4 linked regions of the Diceros bicornis minor genome follow. The protein of the gene in region 1 interacts with the protein of each later gene in a pairwise test. Links are inferred from orthologs where the notes say so. Each region holds a gene or a part of one and is shown in the gene's direction. Other genes may lie near its edges. The genes, in order: LZTS2, PQBP1, PRKAB2 and NCK2.

What was found.
Region 2: the proteins of LZTS2 (region 1) and PQBP1 interact in binary tests that used the Homo sapiens proteins (3 or more experiments, as listed by UniProt). The two-hybrid records come from large-scale screens. The link is inferred for Diceros bicornis minor from reciprocal best matches to the Homo sapiens genes LZTS2 and PQBP1.
Region 3: the proteins of LZTS2 (region 1) and PRKAB2 interact in binary tests that used the Homo sapiens proteins (3 or more experiments, as listed by UniProt). The link is inferred for Diceros bicornis minor from reciprocal best matches to the Homo sapiens genes LZTS2 and PRKAB2.
Region 4: the proteins of LZTS2 (region 1) and NCK2 interact in binary tests that used the Homo sapiens proteins (3 or more experiments, as listed by UniProt). The two-hybrid records come from large-scale screens. The link is inferred for Diceros bicornis minor from reciprocal best matches to the Homo sapiens genes LZTS2 and NCK2.

Annotation. Positions count from the first base shown.
Region 1 is NC_080745.1:66,189,995-66,198,153, forward strand, and holds the start of LZTS2 (leucine zipper putative tumor suppressor 2), read left to right. Parts: upstream 1-4,954; 5' UTR 4,955-5,104; intron 5,105-6,538; exon of another isoform or gene 6,539-7,830; intron 7,831-8,159. Other genes in the region: TWNK (twinkle mtDNA helicase), read left to right, coding at 1-22, 347-488, 1,411-1,725. UniProt on the Homo sapiens protein: Negative regulator of katanin-mediated microtubule severing and release from the centrosome. Required for central spindle formation and the completion of cytokinesis.
Region 2 is NC_080781.1:42,156,964-42,164,412, forward strand, and holds the start of PQBP1 (polyglutamine-binding protein 1), read left to right. Parts: upstream 1-4,380; 5' UTR 4,381-4,523; intron 4,524-4,797; exon of another isoform or gene 4,798-4,824; intron 4,825-4,935; 5' UTR 4,936-4,953; coding exon 4,954-5,020; intron 5,021-6,845; coding exon 6,846-6,957; intron 6,958-7,181; coding exon 7,182-7,294; intron 7,295-7,449. Other genes in the region: TIMM17B (mitochondrial import inner membrane translocase subunit Tim17-B), read right to left, coding at 810-898, 989-1,099, 1,186-1,314, 2,121-2,184, 3,215-3,314, 4,164-4,189. UniProt on the Homo sapiens protein: Intrinsically disordered protein that acts as a scaffold, and which is involved in different processes, such as pre-mRNA splicing, transcription regulation, innate immunity and neuron development.
Region 3 is NC_080743.1:52,464,839-52,472,616, reverse strand, and holds the start of PRKAB2 (5'-AMP-activated protein kinase subunit beta-2), read left to right. Parts: upstream 1-4,611; 5' UTR 4,612-4,754; intron 4,755-4,920; exon of another isoform or gene 4,921-5,011; 5' UTR 5,012-5,036; coding exon 5,037-5,192; intron 5,193-7,778. UniProt on the Homo sapiens protein: Non-catalytic subunit of AMP-activated protein kinase (AMPK), an energy sensor protein kinase that plays a key role in regulating cellular energy metabolism.
Region 4 is NC_080779.1:7,989,380-7,997,290, reverse strand, and holds the start of NCK2 (cytoplasmic protein NCK2), read left to right. Parts: upstream 1-4,851; 5' UTR 4,852-5,033; intron 5,034-7,911. UniProt on the Homo sapiens protein: Adapter protein which associates with tyrosine-phosphorylated growth factor receptors or their cellular substrates. Maintains low levels of EIF2S1 phosphorylation by promoting its dephosphorylation by PP1.

The DNA of each region.
Region 1 (8,159 bases):
ACGAGCAGTTGTCCACAGACAGGTGACATCCTCCTCTTGTCTAGCTGGAACCCACTCGAACACACATGTCTTCTCAGGCAGCTGGCCTCTAGGCACACATGCTGTACTCTCTTATTTTCTGATGTGTTTGCAAGCACACACCACCCCATGTGTATTTTTGTCTTTATAGAGGTGTGGGGTGTGGCGGCGGGAGGTATGGACAAGGATCTAAGAGTGAGTCCTTGGGTAGAGGGAAGTAGAGTGGGTTGTGGTTTGTGGGGAGATTTGAATGAATCAAGAGTATGTGTATGTTCTTGTCTTTCTGTGTGTGTCCAGTAACCTCTTTGCTTTGTTGGGGTGAGGACAGGATTGCAGCTCAAGACTACATCGTTGGGGCCTTTCGGAAGTTTGCAACAGACAATAGCTGCCATGTGACACTAGTCATTCATCCCCGGAAGGAGGATGACGATAAGGAACTGCAGACAGCATCCATTTTTGGCTCAGCCAAAGTAAGTGGCCTTGAGAGGAGCCCAAGCTTTGGAGACTAGAGGGGGCAAGTGTGAGTGGGGACAGCCCTCATTCAGCCTTAAATCATTCTGACTCTCCTTCTGGAAAAAGCAGGAGGCAGCTGCCTCTGGGGCCATGACATGAGGAATACAAGGGCTAGGAATACAAAGGCTGATAATAGTTGGTCCTTTGCCCTCCTTGCCTCCTAGGAGCTCACATCCTCTAGTGGGGAAACAATGAGACAGTAATTACAACTCAGTATTATAAGAGCTATGACAGGCATCACAGGTATTTGGGGAGCAAAGAGAAAAGATATCTGAGTCAGCCTGGGACATCCAGGGGACTTCCTAGAGGAGGTGTCAACAAAGGTTGGGTTGAGTTTTGGCAGATAGTAGGTGTTAACCAAATAAATGGGAGGACCTTCTGGATAGCAGGACCAGCCTGATCCTGGAGCTTCCAGTGGTACACTGAGTGCCTATTACATGCCAGGCCTAGGCTGGCCACAAACTATATACAAACTATGTCCCACAATGAAACAAACATGAAGAGAATAACACAGAAAGGGAAAGATGGTGGTGCCTTCTTTCAAGAATGGTCTCTCTGATGAAGTGTGACATTTAGACTGAGACCTGAATGATAAGAAGCTGGGTTTGAGTGGGGTGGCAAGCTGTGGAGGAGAAGTGTTACAAGTAGAGAGAACAGCGTGTACACAAAATCTGGGACAGCAGCAAGATGGTCAAGGAACTGAAAGACTCAGGTGGGCCCTGCGTTGTGGTCAGTATTCAAAGAGCGTTGGTGATGGGGGAGGGGGCATATTTCTCCCTTCCCCCATTCGTGCTGCTCCTCCCTGCACCCTCAGCCTTCCGTTTTGCTTCTCTCTTGCGTCTTCTCACTGCTCCTTCCTCCTCTTCCCCCTGTCCTCAGGCAAGCCAGGAAGCAGACAATGTTCTGATTCTGCAGGACAGGAAGCTGGTAACCGGGCCAGGGAAACGGTATCTGCAAGTGTCCAAGAACCGCTTTGATGGCGACATAGGTGTCTTCCCCCTTGAATTCAACAAGAGCTCTCTCACCTTCTCCATGCCACCAAAGAGCAAGGCCCGGCTCAAGAAGATCAAGGACGACAATGAGCTGGGGGCCAAAAAGCCCTCTTCTGGCAAAAAGGGGGCTGTGCCCCAGAGCTCTGAGACTGGCCGGGCCCCCATCCCCTCCCAACCAGACCCCTCCAAGCCTTCAAGGTGAAGGCAGTGCAGAGCTGGACACTGACATGAGCCTGACAGGATAGGCTAGGGCCTAGACTCTTGGCCCTCTGCTTGGGCTGCCTCTGTCCTGTGGTCCTGAGCTAGGGCCCTTCTTAGTCTGAGGGGCCTAGCCTAGGGCAGGGTTTCATAGGGAGAGAATTCAATTTAGCAGATATTTGAGAACCTACTGTGTGCCAGGTTTTGTTCTAGGTCCTGGGAGTACAGCACTGACAAGAGAGTGAGGTCCCTGCTTCCACGGAACCTGCAGTCTGGTGGGGGACAAGCAGTGAACAAAGACACACAACATAATTTTAGATAGTGAAAATGCTATAAAGAAAATAAAATAGTAATGTGATAGTTCTTACAGGGCTAGTTTAGATTAAGGTCTGAAAAGGTGTCTCTGAGCAGAGGACATTGAGCGGGGGCCTAAAGAACGAGGATTGAGCCATGTGAACATCTAGAGAAAGAGGGATCCAGGCAGAGGGTAAAGTAAATACAGGCAGAGGGCAAAGTAAATACAGAAGCCCTGAGGTGGGAATGAACATGTTGAGTTCAAAGCAGTGGGGTCAGGCCCCCTGGACCTGGAGGGGAATAGGAGACTTCTTGCCAAAACTCCAGCCTAGACTTGCAGAGCCAAAGGGTGACATGGTGGGTACCAAGCTCCTCTGCTCCCCACTTTGGGGCCTGCCATGAGGTGGTACTCACTACCATTGGATTCTAGGTGCTCGGCCCTGTAATATTTGGGCCCCAAAGGTGGGAGAGCCATGGAAGGAAGCTTTGAGCCCAGAGTGCCTGCCACCTGGACACTGATTCCATGGTATGCTGCCTCAGACCACTAGAGTAAATGAAGTCATGACTTTTTGTAAAGACTTTTCCAGTTTTACAAAAAACTCTTTTTCCATTGCCTTTGTTTCTGTGCTTTTTCTTATTTGTCCACCAGGTGTCTCCCCAGTCTATGACTGGATTTTCCTCTCACTTTGAATTGGGAGTGGATGGGTCCCCAGTCCCACCTCCAGTCTTTGAGCTGTGTACTCCCAAAGAAGCAGGGGCGTTAAAGGGCCTTCACAGACACATCCCCTTACACCTCTTCTTGGCCTACGGAAGACAGGGTGGTATCTCTTTATCCGTATCTTCCCTGAGGATCTCCATGTGATCCCTGGCAGAGGTGTGGGTCACTGGACCACATGCCTAGGCCCTGCCTGACCAGCTGTCCCTCTTTTATATGAGCCACTCACTGACCTCTCAAAATGTGGACTTGGGCTTGGCATCTATTTCCCTCCTCATGCCCTCTCAGTGTTTCTCTTTTGTTAAGTGCCCGTCAGAACGCCTGGGGCTCTTGTTAAAAATGCAGAACCTAGGCCCTACTTTTCCGCCAACCCTGACACACAGACTTTTCTGATTCTGGAGGTTTGAAGAGGTACAGGATTCCTCATTTTTAACAAGCTGTGAAGGAGACTGTAAAATAAATTATCCAGAGACCCTGTCAGAAATATTCCTAAATGATAACACTTTGCCACCTCACTTCCTCTGATATCCTAAAGTCCCAGTTTCCCTTCAGGTTGGCCTGGAAGAGTGGTGAGAATGCAAGATGTTCTGAGGGGGCCCGGAAGAAAACTTTTGTAAGGGGAGGGGCGTGCTTTCCTGCTCCCTGCAAGCAGGGTCTGCCTTATCCAGGTCTCTCTGTTAACCTAAGAGGGGTTTTCTGGGACCCTGTAGAAGGACATGGGTCTCTGTTGTGTCTGAGAACTGTGGCTACAATTGTTTCCTGAAACAGAGCCTGGAGCAAAGCTGTTCTCTGAGGAAGAACCTGGGGGGAGGGAGGGTGTAGCTCCTCCAGGGCCTCCTCCTTGGGGGTCTCTCCCAGACTGGCTGGAGCCAGGCCTCCTAATCCCTCAGTAATCATTCCCAGCCGCTGGCTGGTCCAGGCCTCATCCAGGGTCTACAACATTGAATGTCAGCCATATCTTCCACATGCATACCACCAGGTCAGTCCTACCTATGAGGACATGGGCTCCACATTCTGGTCTACCGAGAATACCTGGTGTGTTCTCAGGAAATCCTTTAGGGGTTTCCATTAGGGGACCTTTGTGAGGTCTGTGTATGAATTGGGGATAGAGGGATAGATACACACTTGCCTGTTTGTTTTGCCCCACCCTCCTAGCAGACACCCCCACACAGCACAAACCAGAATGATGGGGGGGAGGGGAAGCTAATGCTCCCCCAGCCCCACCCCCTACACAAACACATTCCATTCCACACCTGTCTTAAACTCACATCAAGATTAGCCCAAAGTATATTAGGAGTCCCTGGAGCCTAGAAAGCAGTGAGGGATCCCTGGGTCCTGTGTGAGGTCCCTAGGAGCCACTATTCCTGTACCCAGTCAAAGTGGATTGAGGCAAATTACCTGCCTATGGATATTAAGAATCTCCCTGAGAGCTCAGGAAGGGCCTGGCTGAGTGGGGTCCAGCTGGATCTGCAGCCTTCTCCTCAGATTCAGTGTCACACTTGGCTGTGAGGGGGCAGCTGTAGTCTTCCAGCAGCTTCTTTAGTTAGGATGGGTTTGAGAAAGGACTAAACTCACCGGTCTTCCGCTGCCCAAGTACTCAGGCTGGAAATCTGGCCCTGATACTTGCAGACGTCCCAGTCTGTGCCTTCTGACAGGCCGCCTTGGGTGCCATGAAGGGAGGGAGCCCTAGGTGCCTCCCTGCAATACAGGCCAACTTCCTGTTTGTGCCTGTGGGTGGAACTTTATGAGTCTAAAGGAAACCTGGCCATGCTCTGTGGGGGGCCAGACCTGGCAGGCCTGCTCACCTGGGCAGACACCTACTCCAGGGGTGGGGGAGCCGCTGGTTCTACCTGGGCAGCCCCAACCAGAGATTGGGGGGGGGTCTGTTTTGGTGAAACCCGAGCCTTCTTTGTCTGCTTCCCAGGGTTTTTCCCTGTGTCTAGTGAGTGGGCTTAAAGTGGACCAGGTTTGGCAGTAGTAAAGTGGTGGCAGTAAAGTCTTATAGCCGGCTTGGTTAGGGCAGTCAGGTAACTTAGCTCTCGGTCACGTGCTGCTCGCCCCTTCCCCAGGTCGAAAGTCAAATCCAGTAAACTGTGAAGTCAGAGGCCAGAGGGGCAGCCTCAGGTCACCATCGAACTACTGCCGGGCTGGGTACAGGGTCGGCTGTTGAGGGGGTGGTGAGCAGACCACTCCCCTCCCTGGGTCGGGGGCGCGGCCTCAGCCGCCCCGCCCCGCTCCACCAGGCCCGGCCAGACGGGCGCCCGGAGTCCGGAGCCCGGAGCGGGCTTGAGAGCCGGCGGATCCGCGGCGAAGAGTCGCCTGCGCTGGAGCAGGACCCGGGCAGGAGCTGGAGCCGCGGCGCAGGTGGCGCTGGGTGAGTAGTGGGGCCGCGGAGGTGCAGGATCTCCCGCCTCTCGCACATCCCCGCTCCGGAGCGAACTTTCCCGGTCTGGGGAGACTGGGGGTTGGGGTGAGGAGGGGGTCCTCACTCTGGGGGGCGCAGGCGAGGAGTCTGAACAGGGAACCGACACAGAAACTCGCACTGACGGGCCCACACACGCGTGTACGCAGACCCACGCGTGCACTTGGGAAAAACGAACACACGTGCACTTCGGGAAGAACGCGCCCAGTGGGTTATCCTTGCAGTCCCTGGAGCAGCGCCACTGGCGCGCGCGGACCCCCAGCAGACAGGGCGCTCTGCTGTCGCGTACTTGACGGGGGTGGGAGAAAAGGGCCGCCCCGGTGACCGCCGACGGGGGCGGGCAGGGTGAGACATCTCCGGAGGTTTCTGCTTCCCAGCTGCCCGCAGGTGAAGACTAAGACATAAACAAGCGCCGAGCACGTGATCGATTCGCAGACAAGTGGGCTGTGCACCGCCCCCCCCCCCCCCCCCCGAGTCCAGGGCAACTTTGCAAGGTTCCATGCCGGGCAGTATTCCTTTCTCCGCCTCCCCCAGAAGTGGGAGCACAACGCCCCCTGGAGTTGGGGTAGCGCAGAAGGACGGAAAATTGTGCTGGGATGGGGTTACCTGGGCTCCTCGCCTGCCTTCTCCCCAATACGTTCTCGGTGCCTTCCTCCCTGAAGGTATCGGAGGGGGGCGCTATTCTTGATGGCAGTGTGCAACAGCCCCCGCCACATGCCTCCAGCCTGGGGAGCAGCTGCCTGAGCGCCTGTGGGTCCCCTTCCTACTACCACTCCTCCTTGCAGAACTAGGAGCTCCTCCCCCCAGTGCAGGAGCGGAAAGCCCACTCGTGCAAGAGTGGGAGTCCCCCGTCCCCAGAGAATGCATGTGTGTAAACATCCCCTCAGTACCAGAGTGGGCCTATCTCCCTCCGGTAGAAGGGAGGGCGAACCCCCCTCCCCCCCAGCGAATGAGGGAGTGGGCAGCGGTCCTCGGCCTCCCTCCCCACCCCACCCCCACCCCTACACACACGCTGAGCCCAGCTGCTGCCTGAGCTTCTGGGCAGGCTGCCAGAAAGAGGAGGAGGCTCCTGGTGCCCCAAGAGGCTGGGATCAGGGCAAGGCCAGAGAAGGGGGTCTCTACTTGGGAAAGGGTCTCAGTCTGCTTTCAGTCTGTCTCGGGGTGAGCCTGAGGGTGGCTGGGCTGTGTTTCCCTTTCCAGGGAAAAAGAAAGAAAAACAACCCTTTCCATAGAGCTAAAAATAGAGCTGAGAGCTGGCCAAGGCTGTGGCCTGGAAGGGGGGGATGCTTCTTCCTGGGGCAGAGGAGCTCTGGCAGACCTTGGCCCTGGGGTGGGTGGTTAGGGGGCGGGAGGCTGTCCTTGTCCAGGGGTGCAGGCATCAGCTGACCTGACTGGGTCACAGAGACCCCTATGGGGAAGTCTGTGTGGTAGAATGTTTGTGAAGTATGTGTATGTGTAAGAAGTTGTCTGTGTGACTATGAATAAGACTCAATGTGTGAAAGATGATTAGAAGACTAAGTGTATTTAAGATTGTGACTGGTTGGGAAGGACTATGACTTGTGAAAGACTGGGCACAAGGTGTGTGACACCGAGTGTGTCTCTGTGAGTTAGCCTAAAAGACTGGAAAGAAGGAACACGGAATCACGTGATGGATGAGACTGTGATTGTGGCCGTGTGAGCCTGAATGTGGGAAAGGTCGTGTGGGTGTTAAGAAGCTTGTGTTGTTTGCGAGAGGGTGAGGATATGTGTAACCCTGAGAAGACAGGTGGAATGTTGTCCACTGTGAGGCTGCTGTAGGTTTGGACTTTAGGTTTGGACCGGCTCACTCCAGGGATTTTTGGGGGCTAGGGCTGCCTCTCTCTGGACAATGACCTTTCTCTTAGCAAATGACTCTGGGGGAAGGTCTAGGAGCACAGAGCCACGCCTGGGGCCGGCCTGGGCTGGCGGGGGAGAGGGTACAGCGCTGAGGAGTCGGATAAGGGCCCCCAAGGTTGCGGGGTGACTGGGTGTGTTCTCTGGATGGGCCGCCAGGGGGCGCCGCCTCCACAGATCCAAGTGTGCCTCCTCCAACCCGCTGTGGGTGGGGCAGGCACAGCCCGAGCCTCTACCCCTGACCTGAGATGGGGCGCAGGGCCCGGGCAGCCGGGGACAGTGGGGGGCAGCTGACCCTCGGCCTCCCCCTCTGGACTCCGAAGCCTGTGTCTTGGGGGAGGCTTCGACTAGAGGAGCGGAGGGGGAAGGGCGGCCGCCGCGAAGCCCGGCCCTTTGTGCTCGGACAATGATCAGCTGCCGCTGGCCCCGGGGCCCGCGTAGGGGTAGAGGGTGACCCGCCGCCGCCAAGTCCTGAGCCGACCGACCCCTAGACACACAACCACCGGGCCTCGGAGGAACGGACTCTGAATGCAGCCGTGCAGGCCTTGCGTGCGCCCCGCCGGACAGGCGTGACGCGGGCTGCTTGCGCGTGTCCGCCCCCCGGGGCGGGGACGCCCCTCGGACCCCTCCCCCGCGTTGCACCGCCCACTCGGGCCGGGTGGGGGTTGGCCCCGGTGGGGGGCGCCGCGGAGGCGGGGCCGGGTCGGCCTGGCTGCTCCGAGTGGCCGCGCGCGGGCTGGAGCCGGGCGGCGCGCCTGTGGAGCGCTGGGGCGGCCCGGGGCTGAGCATGGAGCAGCGCGGCGGAGGTGAGGGGGGGCCGGGGCCGGGGCCGGGGCTGGGGCTGGGAGGCGACCTGGGGCGCCCCCCACTTCTGCGCGGCGGGGGTCCATTGGGGAGGCGGCATTCCACGGCTGCCCCCACTTTATGGAAGCGGAGGGGGGGTGGACTCTGGAGGGTGGGTTGGGGGCTCCCGGCTTCCTGTCGCGGAATGGGGGCTCGTGATCCCAGACTTGATCCCGCTTGACTGGTCCTTGGAGTTTGGTGAGGGGGAGACTTGCCCCAACTCTTCAGTCCCCAAAACAGGTCTGCGGGAGCCCGGACCTGGCCAGACCTCTCTCGAGCCCTGGGTGAACCC
Region 2 (7,449 bases), on another chromosome or scaffold:
TAGTGCAGAAGAGGAAACTGACATAGGGCACCTTCAAGGAAGCCGGGTCTCCCTGACCCTTGCTTCCATCCCAGGTCCATGGTGAGGCCACACAGAGGGGGACTACCTTCACAAATGGGGTGACTGGTACTCAGACAGTTAACTGTGAGGTCAGATTTGTCAGCCTTGGCAATGGGGGCACAGGGGGAGAGGTGGGGGGTGTTGGTGTGCACGTTTGTGGGGGTTGGGAGTGCAACGTGCAGAGCTACCCCCTCTACCGCGGCAATCCTTGTGTTCACTCACTTCTTTCCCAAGCCTGTTCCTCTGTCTGCTTATGATTCATCACTTGGCCCCCACACACCATTATTCATGTCCCTATTCACATCTTGATTCATCCTCCCTCCTGCTCATTCATCCCACGAACATATACTAGAGCCCACTCCATGTGTGATACCAAATCCTAGGGCTTCCCAGCCCCTGAAGAGGGCTCTGCCCGTTATCCTAAGGAGGGGCTCCCATGGTTAGCTCAAGGAGTACATACATAGGCATTTCAAAACTAGCTTTAAATACTCATCAGGGCATCACAAGAGGGACTGGGGTGAGAGCTTGTTACATGTGAGTGTGAGGCTGGGGTGCCCTGAGAGAGAAGGGGACCTATCCGTCAGGGCAGCTGGGGTGCCCCACCCCCACCCTGGGACAAGGCAGCAGAGTAGAGGCCCTCTCTGGAAGGTCCCAGGGCAAACTGGGAGCCAGCCCTCCCTTCGAGGTAGATCATCGGGGAGGGAACCGAGGAGGCGCTCCCACGGTGGCGGTGATAGGCGGTCACTTCCTCAGTGGTATTGCTGATAGCTGGGGTAGCCTGGGGCCGGGGTACCCTCCTTAGGGGGCAGCTGGCTGGGGTCCTCCAGGAACGGGGGTGCTGGAGAGGGGAGAACCAGGTAAAGGTGAGTGGAGGAGGCTAGGCAGAGGATTTGCCACCTCTCCCTGATCAGCTTCGCTAGGTACTCACCATTGCGGAACTGCTGGGCAGTGTAGCGAGTGAGGAGGATGCCAACACCCTCGATAAGGGCCAAGAGAATGCCCCCCATCATGGCCGAGCCCACCATGGCCAATGGGCCACCTGGAGGAGAGAGAAGGCAGGGAGAGAGAGGTGAGGGCAGGCAGAACAGGGTGGAAGGGGCTGGGGCCAGGGACTGGGGCACTTACTGCGGGCAGCCAGCACAGCCCCGGTCAATGCTCCACTGGTGATGGAGTTCCAGGGATCTTCCTTGCCCCGCAGCCGTACTAGGCCGCAGTCGATGGTGGAGAACAGGCCCCCCCACACCGCGAAGCTACCTGCAGGGGGACCAAGGCCTAATTAGTGTTCCTGGGGAATCCTGAGAATCCACGGCTCAGGGTCTGGGGACTTCCAAGGCCTGAGTGCTCTGGCAAAGAATGGGGAGCAAAACCCAGACACAAAGGCAGAGAGCAAAGGAGGTGGGGATAGTCCCCATCTGTCCCTGTGGGAGCTCCTTCTTCAAGCTGTCTATAATCGCCATCAACACTCCCTTCCCCTTCAGAGCGAGTTACAAGTGTTCAAAAGAGGTCTATCTTCTATATGGCTTTGAACAAAGCAACTCTGATCTTCACAACTACCACAAAGAGTTGAAATTCTGATCTTGGTTTCATGGAGAAGGAAGAGGTTAGGAAAGCCCGTTAACAATATGATAGCTAAAATGTTTACTGAGGCCTTATTGTGTGCCAGGGCCTGATCTAGGCACTGCATGCTATTTGACTTCTGAAATTTCAAATTAGTTAATATTATTAAAGTGCTCAGCAGAACAACCGGCACTTAGTAAGTACCATGTAAATTACATACATTACAAAACGACTGAGGTAGTTATTATCATCATCCCCGTGTTCCAGATGAGGTTCAGTGAAGTTAAGCCACTAGCCCAAGGTCACACAGCAAGGAAGAGCCAGGGCCTGGATTTAAACCCCAGAACTCACTCATATTAAATTGTTGGGAAACATCACTCCCCCAGGAAGTCCTAGGCAGAGTTGAGGCTAGAATATGGACCCCCAACTTGCAGTCTAGACCCAAAGGAGGAACCACCCCCAACTTTGCCATCACATCTCCTATGTCTCCCCAAGCCTCTCACCTCCAATCTGGGGGGCTCGGATCCTCACAGCGTTGACACTACCTCTCAATCGGTGCCGAACTCCCTGGGAGAAAGTGAGGAGGAGGGGAGTCAGGGCAGGGTTAAAGCGACTGGCAGACAAGGTTTCTAGCTTTTAACAGAGGGAAGGGGGTGGGAGACCTGTTAGGGGTATCAAGGGTAGAGACATGGAGAAGAGGCCAAGAACAAGGGGACTGGGGAGCACCTCACCATAGGTGTTCTCAGAGCTGGGTTGGGAAGCTCTCATTCATTCATTCAATGATTACTCAGCTCCTATGTGCCAGGCACCATGCTGTCCACAGGGATACAGCAGTGAATAAGGCAGACCTGGCCCCTGCCGTCTCAGAGCTCACATCATAGTGGCAGAGACAGATCTTGGGCAAGGGTACAGATAAACAATAGCTTCAGACAGCACTATGCACCCTAGAAGAAATAGAATGAAGAGGTATGGTAGTGGCTGAGGGGTCAGGAAAGACCTCTTTAAGGAGGGGGCATTTGTGCCGAGACCTTGAGGATGAGAGGGAGAAACTCAGGCAAAGATCCAGGAAAGAGAGTTCCAGGAGATGAGGGGAGGGACAGGGCTAGATGTATCAGTTGCAGAGACCCTGGCAAATGGATGGCATTTAAAGCCATGACATTTGATGAGATCTCCCAGGAGGAAGGGTATCAGAGAAAGAGACAGAATTGATTATGTTAAATTAAAAGCATTTTCTCAACTTTAAGGCTGCCCTCCTTCTGCCAATTAATCTCCTGTCACTTCCCTCTATCCAGGTTTCTGACCCAGAATCTGCCTCTAGGTAAAATCTTTGCACACACATTTAGGATTTAGCGATGACCATTTTGACAGCACAAAATTTCCACAGAGGAGCTCCAATTGGGTGCGGGGTGAGGGACAGAGGCCATGTTTGCAGTTCTCCCAAAACCCCTCATCCTGGAGCCAAGCCTGGCACATAGCAGGCGATCAGGAACCAGAATGAATAAGTGCATGTGACTGGCAGCTCCAAGCACTTTTCAGAGCAGTATCCCAAGCGGACAGGGCAGGATCCTGGCACCACCCAGGGAAGGCCAGGACTCACGACAGGGGCGTTGCGGAAGCCCTTGATGGCCTGGAAGACTCCGCCGCCGATGACACCCATAGTGAAGGCTCCACCGCAATCATCCACAATTCGCCATGGGCTGCAAGCGGGAAGGGGAGATGGGGTTAATGTGTGCCCTCCCCCATGCCATGTCACATGGACTTTCTAACTGGAAGAAACCAAGTCACCTGAAAGGGAAGTAGCACTTCAGATAATGAGATTATTTTTCCCCTCATTTAAGCAAGAAATAGTGCAAAACGGGAAAAATATTAGTCTTTGCCCAGTCCTACCCTCCCCTTCGCAGTCAACCAAGGAATCAGCTTTACTACTATCAAAGATTAAATGAATTGATACAAGCAAAGAGTTGGCACGTTTAAACAAGCGCTATAGAAGTGTTGACTAGCTAGTATTATTATTAAAGCAGTACAGGGTCACAGCCCCTTCTCCGACAACGAGCCCATCCAATCAAGCCCCGCCCTTTCCCCCTTTTTTAACCGCGCGCGAATGGGAAAAACCGAGAGCCGACCGTGGGGAGGATCCAGCACCCCCTCCTTGCCCAGAATAGGCTCATCCAGGCCCCGCCCCCATTAACTACAGCGACCTGGGAAAAACCACGCGTGGTAACCCTGGGGATTTCCGCTCAACACACCACCCCCCAGCTGGAATGGATTCGACCAGCGTGTCTTTTCGTTAACAAAGAGGGGCTGGGAGATACGTAGTCAGGGGAAACGTGGGGTGGCTCGTCCTTCACTTCCAGGTATACAGTTGGGGCCCCTCTTAACGGAGCCCGAGTGGGAGGAATCAAGTGGAGGGGAGCAAAGGAGACAGATTTTAAACGTCTCCCGAGTCTGGGATGTGGCGCTGTGTGGCCGGTGCCTCCCCCGCCCGCCTCCCACAGCTGGCCGTGGCACCACAGCAACAGTCCCGATGCCTGTGCCCATCGCCGTACCAAGGCTCCCGAGCGTACTCCTCCATGGCGCCGGCGTCCTGCCGCGCAGTCTGGCTAAACCCCGGCCGGGCCACGCCCCCACTGTAAACGCACACAGGCGCCCGAGCTGTCCAACTCTTCCAGGGCGACGATTGGGTCGCTTGGCCATACGTCAGGCCAAGGGCGCGCTCTCATTGGTCACCCCGGCTTGCGTCGTCTGTTCACCGCAGCCTGAGCGTCATCCAGTTACTCCAAGCCTCGGGGAGAGAGGACCTCGTTCTGTGCTTTGGGAGAAGAGAGTTGTGGGGTCCTGGTGATCAAGGGGCGACAAGAGAGAGGCGGCCGGTCTGACAGCCTTCCACTACCCGCGTGACTGTATTGGTAACGTCGGAGTGGGCGCATTTTTTGGAGCGGGAGGAAGTACTGCATTCTCCTCCCCCTTCTCAGCGCTTTGGTTCCTCCTACCCGGCAGTCTTTGGGGGACGTTGGGTGAACCCATTTCTGGGGCGCGGGGGAGCTGTGCTGGCCCCTTCAGCTATGGGTGGAGCCTGGGCCTGGGATAGGAACCCGGTCATGGAGCACCCGGCCTGGAGGGGAGGGTTGGTGAGAGTTTTGGTGATATTGCCATCTATCTCTTCCGCCTTCTCCCGCTTAGGTTCCGTCCACCCAGCTACTGTTGCAGGTGGGTAGGTGGGGGTCCAGATGAGTACATGCTCGGGGGAGGCGTTTGGTTACGGGCTCCAGATTTGAGTCCTCATCTGAGCTGGTTTTTAGTCTGTCCATCTGTCCCTAGGTCTGTCTGCTACCCGCTATGCCGCTACCCGTTGCGCTGCAGACCCGCTTGGCCAAGAGAGGCATCCTCAAACATCTGGAGCCCGGTGAGAGCTAAGAGCAGATGGGCCTACCATGTGCCAGGCTTGAGAGGCACTTTGTTGTTGAGACTGCCACTTGATAACTAGCATGGGCCTACTGTGCACCAGGCAGTGGGGTGGCAGGCATTTCACTGTTAAAAATGGGGATTCCTGACACCCATTCCTACCATGTGCCAGGCATGGGGGAGATAGATATTTCATCCTTAATACTGACAGCTGATGACTATTTTGGGCCTACTGTATGCCAGGTTCAATCCATCAATCAATCTATGGAAGTGGTTACAAAGTATCTAATAGTGAAGATAGCTGACATTTGCAGTCTCCTGTGCGTGCGCCAAGTACAGTGGCAGGATGCTAATACTTTGTTCTTTACCATACTCATAACATTATTTCAGACCTCCCATGGTGTCAGGCACTATGCTGGTGATACATACCTTATTGTTCACATTAATAGCTGACATGTATTTTGGGTCTACTAAGTGCCTGGCATACACATTATGGTTAACAGTATAAAATAACGATAGGATCTATCATTTAGGCCTACTGTGCTGCTGCTGCTAATATTTATACCTTGTCAATAATAGTAAAAGCTGGCATCTATTTTGAGCTATAGTATGCCGGGCACTGGAAAATACATCTTATTTTCACCGTATTGATAAGTGACATCTATTATAAGCCTACTGTGTGCCAGGCATAGATCTTGTGGTTAATAATACTGATAATGATCATTGATATTTATTTTAAGCCTATTGAGTACTAGGCCCTGTGCTGAGAGTATATATATCTTATTAAAAATACTGATGATTATAGCTGATATCTATTTTGGGCCTACTGTGTGACAGGCACTATGCTGTTGCTGACATATACAGGCATACTTCATTTTATTGTGCTTCGCAGATACTGTGTTTTTTACAAGACCCTCCACCAGCAAAAAGATTACGACTCGCTGAAGGCTGAAGAATGGTTAGCATTTTTTAGCAATAAGTACTTTTAATTAAGGTATATACATTGTTTTTTAGACATAATGCTATTGCACACTTAATAGACTACAGTATAGTGTAAACATAACTCTTAGGAGCAGTGGGAAACCAAAAAATCCGTGTGACTCACTTTATCGCAATATTCACTTTCTTGCGGTGATCTGGAACCAGACCTGCAGTCTCTCTGAGGTATGCCTGTGCATTTCATTGTTAGTTATTTCTGCAGCTGAAATCTGTGATAGGCCTACTGAAGGTCAGCTACTGGGCTGACAATATACACCCTTTTAATTTTACTGATATGAACTGACAACTGCTGCATGCTTACTATGTGTCAGGAACTGAATAGATTCAGAGCAGTGTTTGGATAAATCCCTTGGTATCCAAACTCTTGCTACTCAATATACAGGCGTCAGAAACCCCATATTTGCCAAGTTTGGGAGCTGAATAGATTTGGACATATTTTCAGATAAACCCCTTGCTGTTCAAACTCATTTGATCCAAACAGATTTGGATAGTGTGGTGTCACATACTACCTGAACTCAGGAACTGAATAAATATGGATACATTTGTTGGTGAATCCCTATCTAAACTCTGAAACCAGATAGCTTTGGGTAATAGCTTTGGGTAACATATCTTATGTGAACCCAGAAACAGAACAGATTTAAGTACAGTTTTTGGTAAATCCCGATATCCAGATAAGTGGCTTTGGAATGTGAGCAGTATCTGCCAGGGCCGGTGAGACCTGGCACACACACGTGGTCTGTGTGAATGCTAGTGTCTCTCCAGGCTCTAACTGTAGGATGAGAATCCCCCTGCTCCTCACTGCTCTCCTCCTCCCCCCGCCATGCCAGAACCAGAGGAAGAGATCATTGCCGAGGACTATGACGATGACCCTGTGGACTATGAGGCCACCCGGTTGGAGGGCCTGCCACCAAGCTGGTACAAGGTGTTCGACCCTTCCTGGTGAGCCTGGGGACCTGGCCAGGGGGGAGGGAACTGACTTCTGACTTCATCCTTCCTGTGCTGTCCCTGACCTCGGGTTAAGAGATCTGGGGGTCCTCCCCACGGGGTCCTGACATGGGCCAGGTAGAGGCGGAGACTGGGGAGACAAGAGTTGAGGCTACAAGGAGGTAACATCTGTGCTGACATTCCTTCTCTATCCCTCCCTCCCTCCCACTGCCCCACAGCGGGCTCCCTTACTACTGGAATGTGGACACAGACCTCGTGTCCTGGCTCTCCCCACATGACCCCAACTCGGTCGTTACCAAATCTGCCAAGAAGCTCAGGAGCAGTAATGCAGGTGAGTTGGCAGATCCAAGGGTGCCTCAAGGGCTTCTAGTAGTTCTCAGAGAGGGATCAGGTAAATGATAGTGAATCCAGGAGCATCAGGTGCGATAGGCAGGCCCAGCCCCAGGCAAGGGAGGTGGTCAAACACAGAGGCTGCTGGATCCTGAG
Region 3 (7,778 bases), on another chromosome or scaffold:
TAGCCAGAGCAATTAGTCAGGAAAAAGAAATAAAAGGCATCCAAATTGGAAAGGAAGAAGTAAAACTATCACTATTTGTGGATGATATGATTTTATATACAGAAAATCCTGAAGACTCCACCAAAAAACTATTAGAACTAATAAATGAATTTAGTAAAGGTGCAGGATACAAAGTCAATATACAAAAATCTGTTGTGTTTTTATATACTAACAACAAACTATCAGAGAAATTAAGCAAACAATCCCATTTACTATTGCATCAAAAAGAATGAAATACCTAGGAATAGATTTAACCAAGGAGGTAAAAGACTTGTACACTGAAAACTATAAGACACTGATGAAAGAAATTGAAGAAGACACAAATAAATGGAAAGATATTCCATGCTCATGGATTGGAAGCATTAATATTGTTAAAATGTCTATATTACCCAAAGCAATCTACAGATTCAATGCAATCCCTATCAAAACTCCATTGGCATTTTTCACAGAAACAGAACAAACAATCCTAAAATTTGTATGGGACGACAAAAGATCCCAAATAGCCAAAGCAATCTTGAGAAAGAAGAATAAAGCTGGAGACATCATGCTCCCTGATTTCAAACCATATTACAAAGCTATAGTAATCAAAACAGTATGGTACTGGCATAAAAACAGACAAACAGATCAATGGAACAGAAGAGAGCCCAGAAATAAACCCATGCATATGTGATCAATTAATTTATGACAAAAGTGGCAGGAATATACATGGGTAAAGGACAGTCTCTTCAATAAATGGTGTTGAGAAAACTGAACAGCCACATGCAAAAGAATGAAACAGGACCACTATCTTATACTATACACAGAAATTACTTTGAAATGTATTCAAGACTTGAACGTAAGACCTGAAACCATAAATCTCCTAGGAGAAAACACAGGCAGTAAGCTCATTGACACTGGTCTAGACGATGCTTTTTTGGACTTGATTCCAAAGGTAAGGGCAACAAAAGCAAAAATAAACAAATGAGACTATATCAAGCTAAAAAGCTTCTGCATAGTAAATGAAACCATCAATAAAATGAAAAGGCAACTTATTGAATGGGAGAAAATATTTGCAAATCATATATATAATAAGGAGTTAATATCCAAAATGTATAAAGAACTCACACAAGTCAATAACAAAAATCAAGCAATTTGATTACAAAAAAAAGGAGTGGAGGATCTGAATGGACATTTTTCCAAAGACATATAGATGGCCAAGAGGCACATGAAAAGATGCTCAACATCACTAACTATTAGGGAAATACAAATCAAAACCACAAAGAGGGGACAGCCTGGTGGCGCAGTGGTTAAGCGCGCGCGCTCGGCTTCGGCGGCCCAGGGTTCGCAGGTTTGGATCCCAGGCACACACCGATGCACAGCTTGTTAAGCCATGCTGTGGCGGCGTCCCATATAAAGTAGAGGAAGATGGGGATGGATGTTAGCCCAGGGCCAATCTTCCTCAAGAAAAAAGGGGAGGATTGGCATCTGATGTTAGCTCAGGGCTAGTCCTCCTCACAAAAACAAAACAAAACAAAACAAAAACCCCACGAACAGATATCACCTCACTCCCATAAGAATGGCTATTATCAAAAAGAAAAGTGGGGGCCGGCCCGGTGGCGCAAGCGGTTAAGTGCGCGCGCTCCGCTGCGGCGGCCCGGGGTTCGCTGGTTCGGATCCCGGGCGCGCACCGACGCACTGCTTGGTAAGCCATGCTGTGGCGGCGTCCCATATAAAGTGGAGGAAGATGGGCGCCGATGTTAGCCCAGGGCCGTCTTCCTCAGCAAAAAAAAGAGGAGGATTGGCGGATGTTAGCTCAGGGCTGATCTCCTCACACACACAAAAAAAAAAAAAAAAAAAAAAAAAAAAAAAAAAAAAAAAAGAAAAGTGTTAGGGAGGATGTGGAAAAAAGGGAATCCTTGTACACTGTTGGTGGGAATATACCAACAACAAGTATGGAGGCTCCTCAAAAATTAAAAATAGAATTATCACATGATCCAGCAATCTCACTTCTGGGTATTTATTCAAAGGAAATGAAATCAGAATCTCAAAGAGATTTCTGCACTCCCATGTTTATTGCATCATTATTCACAATAGTCAAGATATGGAAACAACCTAAGTGTCTGGCTAGAGATGAATGGATAAAGATACAATGGAATATTATTCAGCCATGAGAAAGAATAAAATCCTGCCATTTGAGACATGATGGAGGGATCTTGAGGGCATTATGCTAAGTGAAATAAGTCAGAGAAAGACAAATGTATGGTATTACTTATATATGGAATTTAAAATAAAGTTGATCTCAGAGAAACAGAGGGTAGAATGATGGTTGCTAAGAGTTGGGAGGTGGGGGAAATGGGGAGATGTTAGTCAAAGGGTATGAACTTTCAGTTATAAGATGAATAAGTTCTGAGGATCTAATGTATAGCACGGTGACTATAGTTAATAATACTGTATTGTATAGTTGAAATTTGCTAAGAGGGTAAATCTTAAGCGTTTTCACCACACACAAAAAGGTAACTATTTGAAATGACAAGTGTATTAATTAACTTGATTGTGGTAATCATTTCACAGTGTTTATTAAATCATCACATTGTACACTTTAAATATATATAATTTTATTTGTCAATTATACCTCAATAAACGTAGAAAAAATTAAAAATAAAATCAATGGTATTTGTTTTCAAAAATAGTTTCTGCAATGGTTGAGTAGTGTCTTGTGTATAAACTTGTATCTTTCCTCTTGCTAAAGCTAATTTTTAAAACACTATAAAATTGTTTTAATTTTTTCATTGAGGTATAATTTTCATACAATAAAACTCACCCTTTTTAGTACACAGTTCTGTAAGTTTTGACAGACACATAACACCACTACAATCAAGACATAGAACTGTTTCATAACCCCTCCAACATTCCCTCCTGTCCCATCGTAGTCAACCCTTCCTCTCACCCTCAACTCCTGGAAAGCACTGATCTATTTTCTAACCCTAAGTCTTGCTTTTTCAAGAATGTCATATAAATAGAGTCTGGCTTTTTCCACGTCTCATAATGCCTTTGAGATTCATCCACATTATTGTGTGTATCAAGAGTTTAATCCTTTTTATTGCTTAGTATTCCATTTATGCCTATACTATATTTTGTTTATTGATGCACCAGGTGAAGGACATTTGTGTTGTGTGCATTTTGGGGGAGATATGAATAAAGCCACATGTGTTTTGTACAAACAAACATTTGTGTACAGATTGTGTGAACTTGTCTTTATTTCAGGTGAATAAATACCTAGGAGTGAAATTACTAAACTGCATTTTAAATGTATGTTTAACTTTATAAAAAAGATCAGATTGTTTTTTGAAATGTAAATCACCAAGATGAGATGTCATACCCATCCCTGATCACAAATGGGGATGGAACCTGGAGAGTGGAGATGGTAATGTAAACCTCCAGATGCCCAATCTAACCTATCATCCAGTTCTGTAACACCAATATACTCTTTCCCCATTCCCACATCCTCACCTCTCAGAGGAAGTAGAATACATTTAGCAGTGTGCATAAAAGCTTATTGTTCTGTGAGGCCTCCCATGCTCTCTGTTATTTTCCTCTATCAGGCAGAATGGCTGATCCGAGACCAGCGGCAATGATGTCTGAGATACGGTAACATCAAGAGAACTTCCACCACTTACTTTGCCTATTACCTCCTTCTTTTCCTTCCCTCTGGAAGGAAAGATAGAACGTTGATGCAACAGCAATGAGTCTAAAGGGAAAAATTATACTGGCATTGACTAACAGATCTTGTTTCTTTACCTAGTAGGGAATGAAACATGCATATAATTACCCCTATTACAAAGTAAGAATTAGTAAATACCATGAGTTCCATTAATTATGCGTAAAAACCTGGATCTGTCCCAACCAGAGGACTGTCTTTGCCCTTTTCCGCTTTTAGTGTTCCTTCTGATGTTTTTGTTGTTGCTCTCTTTCTTGAATTGTACTTCTTTTGGGATTGCTCATTGCATATGCTGTTTCTTAGCCTAAAATAGCTTTCTCCATCTTCTCCTTAGACTAAAATTTCTCTCCTAATCACTCCTTCTTCCCAGGGGCCCCAGTAGGGCTGACTGCACCCCCAGCACTTAGTTTTAACCTGGAGCAATTACCACTACTTCCTTCTGCCTTCAGTGGGAGGTCTGTTTTCTTATTCTCTATAGGAACCCACCTCTCCGGTCGCCTATCACAAGGACGCTGCCCAGAAAACGTTCTGGTGAACCTGAGGCCAGGGAGGGGGCCGGGAAGAAAGCAGCGCTGCTCCTCCGGGTACCCGAGCACCCGGCACCCGAGCACAGGGAGGCCGCCCCCAGTGTCATTCCGAGGCCATCTAATCCGCAGTGAGCGCCCAGTGGTCAACACACGAACGGCTCCTGGAGCAGGCTCGCCAGGCGTGCCGGTGAGCCCGGCGCGCCGCTAACTGTGCAGCTGGCGCCCCCGCCTGACGCTGGAGGCTGCGCGCGGCCGCCCACCATCGAGGCGACGGCGGCTAGAGAGGCCGGCGGGCCCCGGGCGCCGCGGCGGCGCGGCCGCAGGGTACGCGCGCCGGGCGGCCCCGCGCCACTGGCTTTGTAGCCATTTTAGGAGGAGACACGGTTTGCTAGCTGGGGCGCGGCTTCAACTTTAATAACTTTATTGGTGGCGTTATCCGTAGAGCAGGCGTCGCGCCAGTGGCTGGGGGAGGAGGGCACGCCTCGCGGGAGGTGATTGGGGGTGGGGGCGTCCCTGGGCAGGGAACGCGGGGATGCAGGAGAGTCGCCGAAAGCGGGTTTCCTGAACAGCGGGCAGCGAGGGAGTCGAGGGTTTCGGGCACTCCTGGAGGCCAAGGGAGGGAGGGGACCCCGGGGCGCCGCTGCCCTGGGGCGGGGATTCCCTTGCCTGGGTCCCCAGGGGCGGGGCCGGGGGCGCCCCTGACGCTGCCACTGGGGTGTTCCCCGCTCCGTGTCGTTCCCTACGGCAGGTGGCCTCCGACTCGAGCTGCAGCCATGGGAAACACCACCAGCGACAGGGTGGCCGGGGAGCGCCACGGCGCCAAGGCTGCGCGCGCCGAGGGCGCCGGCGGCCACGCTCCAGGCAAGGAGCACAAGATTATGGTGGGGAGCACTGACGACCCCAGCGTCTTCAGCCTGCCGGACTCCAAGGTGAGCGTCCCCACGCCTTCAGTTGGTGGCGATGCTGCAGTGGGCTGGGTGTCAGGGCGCCTCCTCCCTTTCTTGGTTCTTTCTTATCACACTGACTTGGGTTACAGTTTTTTGAATTAAAGGGATTTTTTGGAGACGAGATGTTGGATGGTAATTCCTCTTGCGGTGCTGCCTTAAGATAGGATAGAGGCGGAGTTCTTGTTTTCCGACTAATCTGTTGGCCACATTTTTAGGATTGGGACAGTGGACCCCCCCCCCCCTTCGAATACAGGTGCTCACTTCTAGACTATTGGTGAATTTATAGGTTATAACCCTGGTGGAAAACTTCAGAGGGTTAGGTTGCCTGAGTTGCTAACCGTAGGCGGCAGTGTCTCAGATTTGCCCTGAGGTGGTTAAATGAATTTCTTTTTCCTGACAACTTCTACGTATCAGTATCCTTTTTGCTCCACTGGGAGCTCAGCACTTCTGATCCTCTTCCCCTTTGGCATGGCAGTGAGCAGCAACCACTTGCTTATTTGAATACTTTCTCCTAATCTTGGGGACAATAAAGGACATCATTTCGCTGACTGCTCCGTTTTCATCCCATACTTTATAGTTGTGGCTGAGCTTGTGCTTCTTTCACACTCAGCTGCTCCTCAAGTGGGAGAGCAAATGATTCCAGGATTTCTCCACTTCTCAGTCGTACTTCATAATGTTACATGGCTGAAAACTGACAACCCACCGCTGCCCTGAAGACCTTGCTCTCAATTCCAAAGACTGAGGAAAGTGGCAACTTGTATCCACCCTAAAGAAAGGATAGATGGAGCTAACAACAATGTGATTACCATCTGAATGTTTCTCATCACTTTTAGAGCTGTCAGCATTAAATTAATTCCTCCAGGTAGTCCAACTGGGATGAAGTAGAAAAGTGGAGAGATTGAGGAGATTGGGGTGTGTTTGACGTTTCTTGTCACTTCATCCCTTCGCACCCAACTTGGGTTTTAGAAAGTATATAGAGAATGATTTGCCTCGTTGGTAGCACATGATTTTGGATTCTGTTTGTTTTCTTGGATCCCAATTGAGAACATAATCACAGAAAGAGAAGCAAGGGTGATTGAAAGGACCACTTCTTGGTATTTCTTCTCCATTCCTTTTTCCTTCTCCCACTTCAGGACTACTTCCTCATCATTTGGGCTGTCTACCCAGCCATCTGAATTTACTTCTTCAAAACTTTCTCAAGGTGATCGACCTCATTGTATTTTTACCCTTTTCCTACATTGATGACTCAGGATTTAAGTATAGTGTATTTGTCAAACTGTGACCGCAGTAATCAGTGTCCTGAATAAAAGCCAAGTTGCTCTATCTGAAATGGAGCCTATTTTGGATCATTCTTACTCTTACCTCAGTCTTGCCGTTTGTGAAATAAGAAAATCAGTTCAGATAATTCCTAAAGTCTCTTCCAAATCTAAAATTTTGTAGTTCTCAATCTACTTTCTTTACTTCTTCCCTCAATGTTTTATTTGAACATTTTCAAACTATAGTTCTAATTGTTTTGTCTCTTTTCCTGATGATTTTGCTGACTATTTACCTTGGAGTAAACAATCTTTCTGCTAGTCAGCTGCACTCATGCCTACCACAGAAATGTCATGTCATATGTGGAAGGGCTTCCTTCCAAAGCTAGGCATATTAATAGTTTGTAGCTTTCAACTTCTAAACTGAAAATACTAAATCATCAAAGTAACTGATAGAAACAGTGGCAGTGGAGCCTACATTGCTTCCACTGCCAGCCTTCTTCAGTGGACTAGTTCAATGGTTCTCAATTGCACATTAAAGTTACCTAAATTTGTTTAAACACTTCATGGAAAATTTGAAACATTTTCCATGTTTCAAAGTAGAGAGAAAGTGTAATAAACTTTTAAACTTTTAGTTTAAACAATGATCAAATTGTGAATGAATTTATATCATCTATACCCCAATCTACTCTTCCCCCACCAATTATTTTGAAGCAAATTCCAGACATTGAATATTATTTTACCTATAAATATTTTAGGATATATCTCTAAAGATGAGGTTTCTTTCTTTGTTTATTTTAAAATAATCACAGTATTATTTTTCTGAGAAACTTTTTAAAAATAGATTCCCAGGTCCTATATCCAAATCAGAATCTGAGGGTTATTCTTAGGCATATGTGAAAATTTCTGTAATTCTAATGGAGCCAGTCAAGCCTCTTGCATTGCTTTAAGAATATGGAGGTCAAGGTTTTCTCTTAAGCCGCTTCCTTACATAATGTGAAAGTCCCTTCAATTCTCTTTCTCCGTGTACTTTGGATTATGCTGCTACTGATGTCTCATAGTGTAGTTTTGAGGGATATTGAGAGACAATATGGAAGGTAGATTACCTCAGCCATTTTGAAAATAAAGCCCAAATGAAGAAGCTAGCCCTTTTTTTTTTTAACCTTCATTATTTTATTTGGTAATATTTTGACTTGATATTGTACACAGTCTTATTTAGCAGAGTCATTTTAGCCAATCTAAAGTGGGGATCAGCAAACTTTTTCTGTAAAGGGCCAGATAGTAAGTATTTTAGACTTTGCAGACCATACAGTCT
Region 4 (7,911 bases), on another chromosome or scaffold:
GAGCACTCTGCATGTAGTAAGTTGGCAATAAATATTCATTAAATTTACCTGAATGTAAAAAGATAGAACTGTTTATCCCTCACAAACCAGTTTACCCAACTTTTCTGATATCGGCACCAACATCTTTGCAGCAACCCACATCCAAACTCTAAGTAATGCAGACTTCTAACTGTGCTTCCTACCTCCAGGCGTTTGTGGGACATGCGCCAAATGAGGTACCCTGCCGCCAAGCCCGGATGATGTCCACACGTAACTACTATCTCCAGGTCTTATCTCCTCAGGATCCTCTGCAGGCATCCTCTGCTGCATTCAGGCAAATGAGGGCATTCCCTGTTCCTATGGAGTTCTCCCACATTCCCCCTCTCTGTCGTCACGGTTCTAAGCATCCTGTACTGGGAATTTCCTCTCTGTCTTCAACTTTCAAAATCCTATAGTTTGCATCATTCAGAGGTTTTGGTTGCAAGAAAGGGCCTCTGGCTACCTTAAGCAGAATAGGAATTTTTCAAAGAATAATAAGTAGCTCACAGCGGGGCTAGAGGAGCTAGGAGAAGGGGCGAGAACCAAGCAGGTTAATGACCTCTATGGGGAAGTTCTGGGATTCTTCCAGCAAAAGCTCACTGAATCTCATCCTCCCTCCTTTTGGCCACCCTCTCCAGGTTCAAAGTCCCGGGTGGGAGGGTTCTATTGGCCAGTCCCAGGCTGTTCACTCTCACAGGGCTTCTGGGAGTGGAGAGAGGGAGGAGCCTACTCTGCCTCCCACCAAGGTCAGACAGGGGCCTTCCTAAAACCAGTAAGGGGGCTGGATGTAGGGCAGCCAAATTATAGTAGCTTTCCAGGTGTCATCTCTCCAGGTCCATTCCTAATGCCTCCAGCTTTCATAAAACCTACAGCCTCTTCTGATTCTCAGAACATATTTCACTTGGTACTTTGCATATTTAGCTTTATATTATGGTATTTGCATACTGGTCTTGCCCTTCCTGTGAGATTAAAAACTCCACTTACCCTTGTTTCTTCTGAATTGACTCTTATAATGCATTACAAATAGAAATATACTAGAAATGTTTAACTGTACTGACGGTTAAGATAGAAGGTCATGGAAAAGCTGATGTGAGTATTTACCATGTGCCAAACCCATAGTTGAGAGATGTTTACATGATCTCATTTAACTTTCACAACTCTTTATGAGAGCACTATTACTACCCGAGGCCCGGAGAGGTTAGATGATCCCAAGTCACAGGCTTGCAGGCAGGCTGTGGGCCTCTGAAGCTGGACTCAGACAGCGCCCTCAACCTTAGCTTGTGTTCTCTGTGACTCCAAGGAGAGGGTTAGAGGAAGGCTTGCATGGAACTCTGAAGAGGAGGGGGATGAGAAATCCCTTGCTGTGTCCCCAGTATAGGAGGTGGAGATTAGTGTGACTAAGTGGGACACAGTGGGGAAAGCAGAGGGACTGAAGCAAGTAGCTTATATTAGGGCAGGGTAAACAACAAGATTGTTAGGGCAGGACTAAGTTCCAGGGACTTTAGAAGGGAAATCTTAGGATTTAATGCCGATGTGATTTGGGGGCAAAAGTTTATACGTTTTGCACTTTCAATACTTCATTACTGAAGAAATTTCAATAGTAAAACAAACATAGATATACTAATGGAGTAGAATGCAGAAACCTCTACATTTTTAGATAAACCATCAGCTTCAAGGAAATGTCTCGCCCATGCTGGGTCTTGTAGTGGGTTGAACGGTAGCCCCAAAGGACATGTTCACCTGGAACCTGTGAATGTCACCGAATTTAGAAAAAAGGTCTTTGTGGAAGTTATAAGGTAAGGATCTCAAGATGAGATCATCCTGGGTTAGGGTGGGCTCTAAATCCAATGATAAATGCCCCTATGAGAGAGAAGGGGAGAGGAACACAGGGGATCTGGCGTGTGAAGACAGAGGCAGAGATTGGAGTAATGTTTCCACAAGCCAAGGGACACCTGGAGCCACCAGAAGCTGGAAGAGGCAAAGGATTCTCCTCTAGAGCCTTCTGAGAGAGCATGGTCCTGCTGACAACGTGATTTCAGACTCGCCTCCAGAGCTCTGAGAGAGTAAACTTCTCTGTTTCAAGCCACCCAGTTTGAAGTAATTTATTAAGGCCGCCCCAGGAAGCGAACATAGGCATCTTAGAGCTCAATTCTTCAGCCCTCCTAGGAGCAAAGGCTCAAGTCCTTTGCTGTCAGAGGACTTTTGAGGAACTGTGGTGAGCCGTGGGGAGCCATGGGAAGTTCTTGAAGAGGGGAGGGGCAAGATAGAAGCAATTTTTCTGAGAGTTAGGAAGACACTGATGTTCAGTATGAATCTGGGGGTGGGAGGAAGTGAGTAACGGGAGGCCACTTGGAAGGCAACGGGTGCAGTGGAAAGAATGGGAGTTTTGGAGGTGAGTGTGTGCAGTTCTCACCCAGCTCTTTCACTTACTAGTTTAGTTTTTTTATCTGTAAAATGAGGATAATACCATCATGTGTGAGTTACAGATGATATATGTAAAGAATTCAAAAAAGGTACACAAGTATTATTAGTAATAAGGTAAAATTTGGATGGTGACATTGGAAATGGAAATGAAGGTACCATCAAGAGATGTTTCAGAATCACCAGGACTCAGAATCATGAGGATGTATGAGATCATAAGAGGGATCCCAAGGTCACCTAGGGTCCTCTCCTGTCTTTGGGGAAAGCTTGGAGAGAGGAAGGGAAGAAATCAAATTGCAATGATTTTTTCTTTCAGAGCTGAGATGCCTGGTAGACTCTTGGCCAAGCCTAAGACCGTGGGAGGAGGAGCTGGTTTAGGAAGCAGGCAAGTTTCATTCTGAATCTGGTGGTATTGAAGAGAGGCTGAGCTGCTCAGAGGGATGGCAGATAAGCTGGGGAGCTCCCTAAGGCTACAGATCTGGGAGTTAATCACTGAATATCCAGACTGGAAGCATACAAAAAATGATCAACTCTCTTAAAAAAAAAAAAAGGTGCACATCAGGATAAAAACAAAGGGCCAAAGTCTTTGGGATATTACTGTTAGATGCTGGGAGAACAACATGGCCTACAAGGAACAGCCATGGGCAGGTCAGAAAGGTAGCTGTTAGATAAATGAAAAGATGACCACATTTCAGGAAACAGCAGAAACGTTATTAAGATAAAGGTTGAGAAACGGACATTGGGTTTCAGATAGAGAACGTCCTTGGTGACCTTACAAAGAATCAGAGACGGAAGAGGGGTTCCAGAACCATGATTCAATGAAAGTTTACAAAGCAGACAAGTTAAAAATCAGGTCAATGTTGTTATACTTATTTTGAGTAAAGTAATTTAAAATTGGACCAGACCATTTACTATAATTCTGCTTTTCTTATTAGTAAGACAAAATCTTCACGAAAGGATGAACTGAGGTAGCTTCTTTCCCAAGTCAAAGAGAAGGAGGCTGTTCTGATTCCCTGTTTTTTGACCCATCCCTGCTCAGTGCCCTGCACCTCCTTCCAGCTAGTGACCTTCCAGCTAGTGTGCCAGGGACTTACAGCAGAGTGAGGTAAATACTCTCTCTCCATTGGCTAGATTTTAGAGAGGTTAAGAAACACCCGTGCAAGGTTCCACAGTTGAAGAAGCAGATAGTCCACACCCTCAACTATGACTTCAAAATTATACTGGCTCTAGTTACCCTCCTTCAATACTTCCTTTCGGGAACAAGGCAGGGGTGAGCCATTCAAACGACACGGCCTTGTCACCTTGGATAAACTGTTATTGCCTTAATAATAATGAGAAGCCGGGAGCCTAAGAAAGAATCTCATTAACATGGATCCAGGCTATTCCGCCAGGAAATCAGAATCATTTGGATAGCAGGCTTCCCTTTCCGGAAGGCCATATGGGAAGGAAGTTGGAGAAGAGACATCTGGATGCATGGGCCTGTGAAAAGGAAACTGTGTCTTTCCCCTTACAATTGGGTTTTAATCTTCCAAGTTTGTTCACAGGTAAGCCACCACGTGTGGCGAGGTGACCAGACCAGTCCCACTACTAGTGACCACTCCTTCTGGGGCCACGTTCCCGCAGCTCCTTACAGGACTGTGCCCCTGTGGGTGAGCCTGAGCTGGACACGACGCAGGGGAGGCAGCTGAGGTTGGGTTCCTCTCGTCTTAAGAAGTGCTTCCAACAGGAAAGATGGAGTAAGAGTGTCTGGTTGGGAAAGTAAATAGATACAAGGCAAATAAATAAAAATGCTCACAAGCAATTACAGAGAGGAAGTGACATTTTTATGTAAGTCACTTTTCTGATGGACAACAGGCCTGCTTTGCTCAGAGTGCCGTGGGAATGCTTCCGGGAGGGGGGCGGTCGCCAAACAACTAGAGCGCCGTGATAAGAAAATCAAACAAAAAGAGGATGGACAGATCACCCACCAGTCCTTTCAGGGTGGAAGTTGCTGTCTTTATTTCGTCTCTTGTCCCCTCACCCCTCCCCGACGCCTACTCCCCGTGCGAGCAGTTTTGGGAGCGGAGACCCGTTCCTCCCCCTGGCGCCCGGGTCTCCCCGGGGCCGGGCGGCCGCGCGCCCCCCAGGCAGGGCATGCGGAGCCCGGTCCCCTCCGGGCGCCGTTCCCGAGCCCGGCCGCCGCGCGGGCCCGGGAGCTGCCTGCACGCCCCCCGGGGGGTCTCGGGCCCCCGCCGGCGCACGGGCCTGGGCCGGCCCCTGGGCGGTGTCACGGCGGCCGGGGAGGAGCGGCGGGAGGAGGAGGAAGAGCGCGGAGGGGCGGGCGCTGCGCGCCGGGGGAGGGGTCGCCGCCGCCGCCGCGGAGATCGTCAGGCCGGAGCCGCGCGGCCGAGCGGGCGGCGGGCGGCGGGGAGGACTCGGCGGCGGGGAGGCTCGGGCGCCCGGGCCGGCGGGGTCCGCCCGGCCGGCAGCGTCCGCCACGCGGCGGGAGGAGGGAGCGGCGCAAACAAAGAGCGGCGCCTGGGCGGGCGCGGTGCGGCCGCCGCCCCGGGACCCGCGCCGCTGCCCTCCGGCCTCGGCGGGCGGCCCTCGGCGAGGTAAGCGCGGCCGGCCGGCCCGGGGCGGGGGCCGCCAACTTGGGCCGCTCGGCAGAGTTGGAGCGCGGCGGGGCTCGCGGGGCGGGGCGCGCCCGGGAGGAGGCTGCGGGAGCGGGTCCCTCGCGCCCCCCTGGTGCCCTCGGCCCCGCCGCGGCCTGGCCCCCGTGGCGGCGGACTGCCCGCGCCTCCCGGCTCCGCACCTTCCCGCCGCCCTCCCAGCCCCCACCCTCCGGGGTCGGCGCTGGCGCCGCCAAGGCAGCGGCCTGGGCGCGGGGTTCCGGGACCAGAGACCCCGGGGCGCGCGGGGAGCGCCCGGCCTGCGGGCCGGCCGCGGGCGCGGAGCCGGGGGCCGGCGTGGGGCCGTGCGGTGGCCGAGGTCGCCTGGGCGAGAGTCCCCGGGAGGAATGGCCGGGGATCGCCCGGCCCCAGCGCAGGGACGCGGGAGGCCGAGCGCAGCCCGGAGAACTTACTGTGTTTATTGGACTGTTTATGACCCCGCACAAAGCTGCTGTCACATCGCATAAAGGAGGTCCTCGCCTCGGCGAAGGGCGCTTTGTGCCGGGTTTCAGGCTCTGCGTCCTGTCCCAGATTTACAGGACTCTCTTACAGCCACCCGAAAGAAAGTTTCTCACAATCGCTCTGCCCTCTTGGTTTATTCAGAGTGATTTAACTACCAAGTGGTTCTGGAAGAATTTGGTGTGTGACTTTTAAGGTATTGACGGTAACTCCCTTGTGAGCGCAGTTATCGGGGCATCGTGTGGAGGGGTTTAATTTGCAAAGCGCTTTCATTTGTAAACAGTAACGATCGCCTTGGAAGGTCCACGCGGGATGCTGGGGGTCATTGGCTGACGAACACCAGGCACCTGACTTTGGCCCTGTAACAGCTTCAGGGACAAAGCAGGAACGTGTGTGTAGTCGGCCTCTGTCACTTCGGACAATTCAGGTTGGCAATTTCTCCTTTATGTGGCTTTGTTTATTTTGCCGACAGGTTTAGGGCTGAATCTGCAAAGTTTGCGTCTGCATAATGGGATGAGTAGGCCCAAGGGCTGGGCCTGGGGAGCCTAAAACATCGCGCATGCCTACTCCTTCGATTGACTCCCCCCAAAAAGACTGAACCCCGAGAGGCCCGTGGGCATGGCTTCCCGCGGACCCACAGGTGTGGGAGCTCCTTCCTGGTCTAGGCCCAGTCCGGCTTTTCGGAAGGAAGGGATTTTGGTAGGAATGAGAGTAATTTGGGGTGTGTTTCATACCACTGCATTTGATATCCTTAGCAACAGTGCTTTTCAAGTGTTAAAGTGACTGAAAATGAAATTAACCTGGGCTGCTTTAATTTATCAAAACATCTAAACTTTGCTACTGAACACTCCCTTAGTTCACTTACCCAGTGTTGGTAGATAAACGGGTATATTAGTAACAGGACTAGAGCATGTGTGGCGTTTATATAGAGAGAATGGTGGTCAGTGGGCAGCTGGAGAAGTGGGCTTCACCGGGAGAGTGGGCTGTAGATGAAGGTTTTTAGGTATTTGGAACAGGGCTTTCCTGAGAAACCAGTGTTAATCATGCTTGTGAAGAAGTGACCACCAGGGAAAATCCTCTCTTAGTGTTTCTCTCCTGGAGGTTGGTTAGATGTACTTTTGATTGAACAAAGTGGCTGGATCTTAGCGATCTTCTGGCTGCAGCTCCTTGAGGCTGAAATTGAGAGCTGTAAGCAGTGGTAAGCTTGTGGAGGTGCCCAGCCCAACTCAGCTTCCTCTCCTGGAGGCCTCACCTGGGCCGCGAGCTTCTCAGCTGCTACATAAACACTAACAGGATTGATCCTGGAACGCAGGATGACATTGAGTCACAAATTGCCACTGGAGAATTGACTGCTCCCTCACCCCCTCTGCCCACTTGTGGAGAAACTGGCCCTTTTAAAATGGGCGGGGCTTGTTTAAGATGCATTTCAAGTAGCTGTACTCAGTTTTCCAGGCTTTGTGTTTTGCTTTATTACATGCTATATACTTAAATTCTCTTCATCCCTGATCTGTTTGACCCTGTCATATTCCCAGCTTCTGTCATTTGCATTGGGGGATTATTGAAGTTTTCCAAGAAACAGTAGGTCTTAAGTACACAGTGTTTGGAAACGCGCTATCATCCATATTAAATACACCGGAAATCTTCCTTGTATGTGCACAAACTGGATAACCTTTCGAAATACCCTAAAGACTCCCTGATTGCCCGGAGTGACCTGGAGTCCTTTACTTGATCACTTGCGTTAGCTTCATTTGCCCTGGCCATGAGGCTGTGTTGCTCTCTGGGACACACATGCTTCAGTGTGCACTGGGGGAGAGGGGGCTCGTGGACACGGTCCTCCAGCATTAAAGATGAGGCTGATTGACTGAAGAGCTGAAGATTGCTTGCTGGAACTGCAGGGCAGGGCGGTGGATGATGTTTGGGAAAACTAGTAAGCTAACTTTTTTCACAAATGAACTGGAAACTCCCCACAACTCATCCAAGAGGCTTAGGAAATTAGTTTTCCCATCTAGAGGGATTGCAAGTGGTGCTTCCAAATTGTTTCTCTTTCTTAGGATGAATGATTGAAACCTTTCATGGCATTTCAAAGGGCCTAAGCTAAAAATCATATCATGTATGTTGTTAAATGCTTGAAAAGCAGCTTAGAAGAAGGTCAAGACAGCCTTTTAATGGGTTATCAAAAGTATGCAGCTAAAGTAAAAATAGTTTTTTATTTCTTTAGGCCATTTAGTAACACAGTTTAAAAAATTAGACTATTTTTTTCTTTTCCTGCATTTCACTTTGAATGGATCCCAAAGTATGTATATTTCTGAAGGTATAATCAACATCAGCAAGTTATACCCTCCCCCCGGCACATACACAGGCA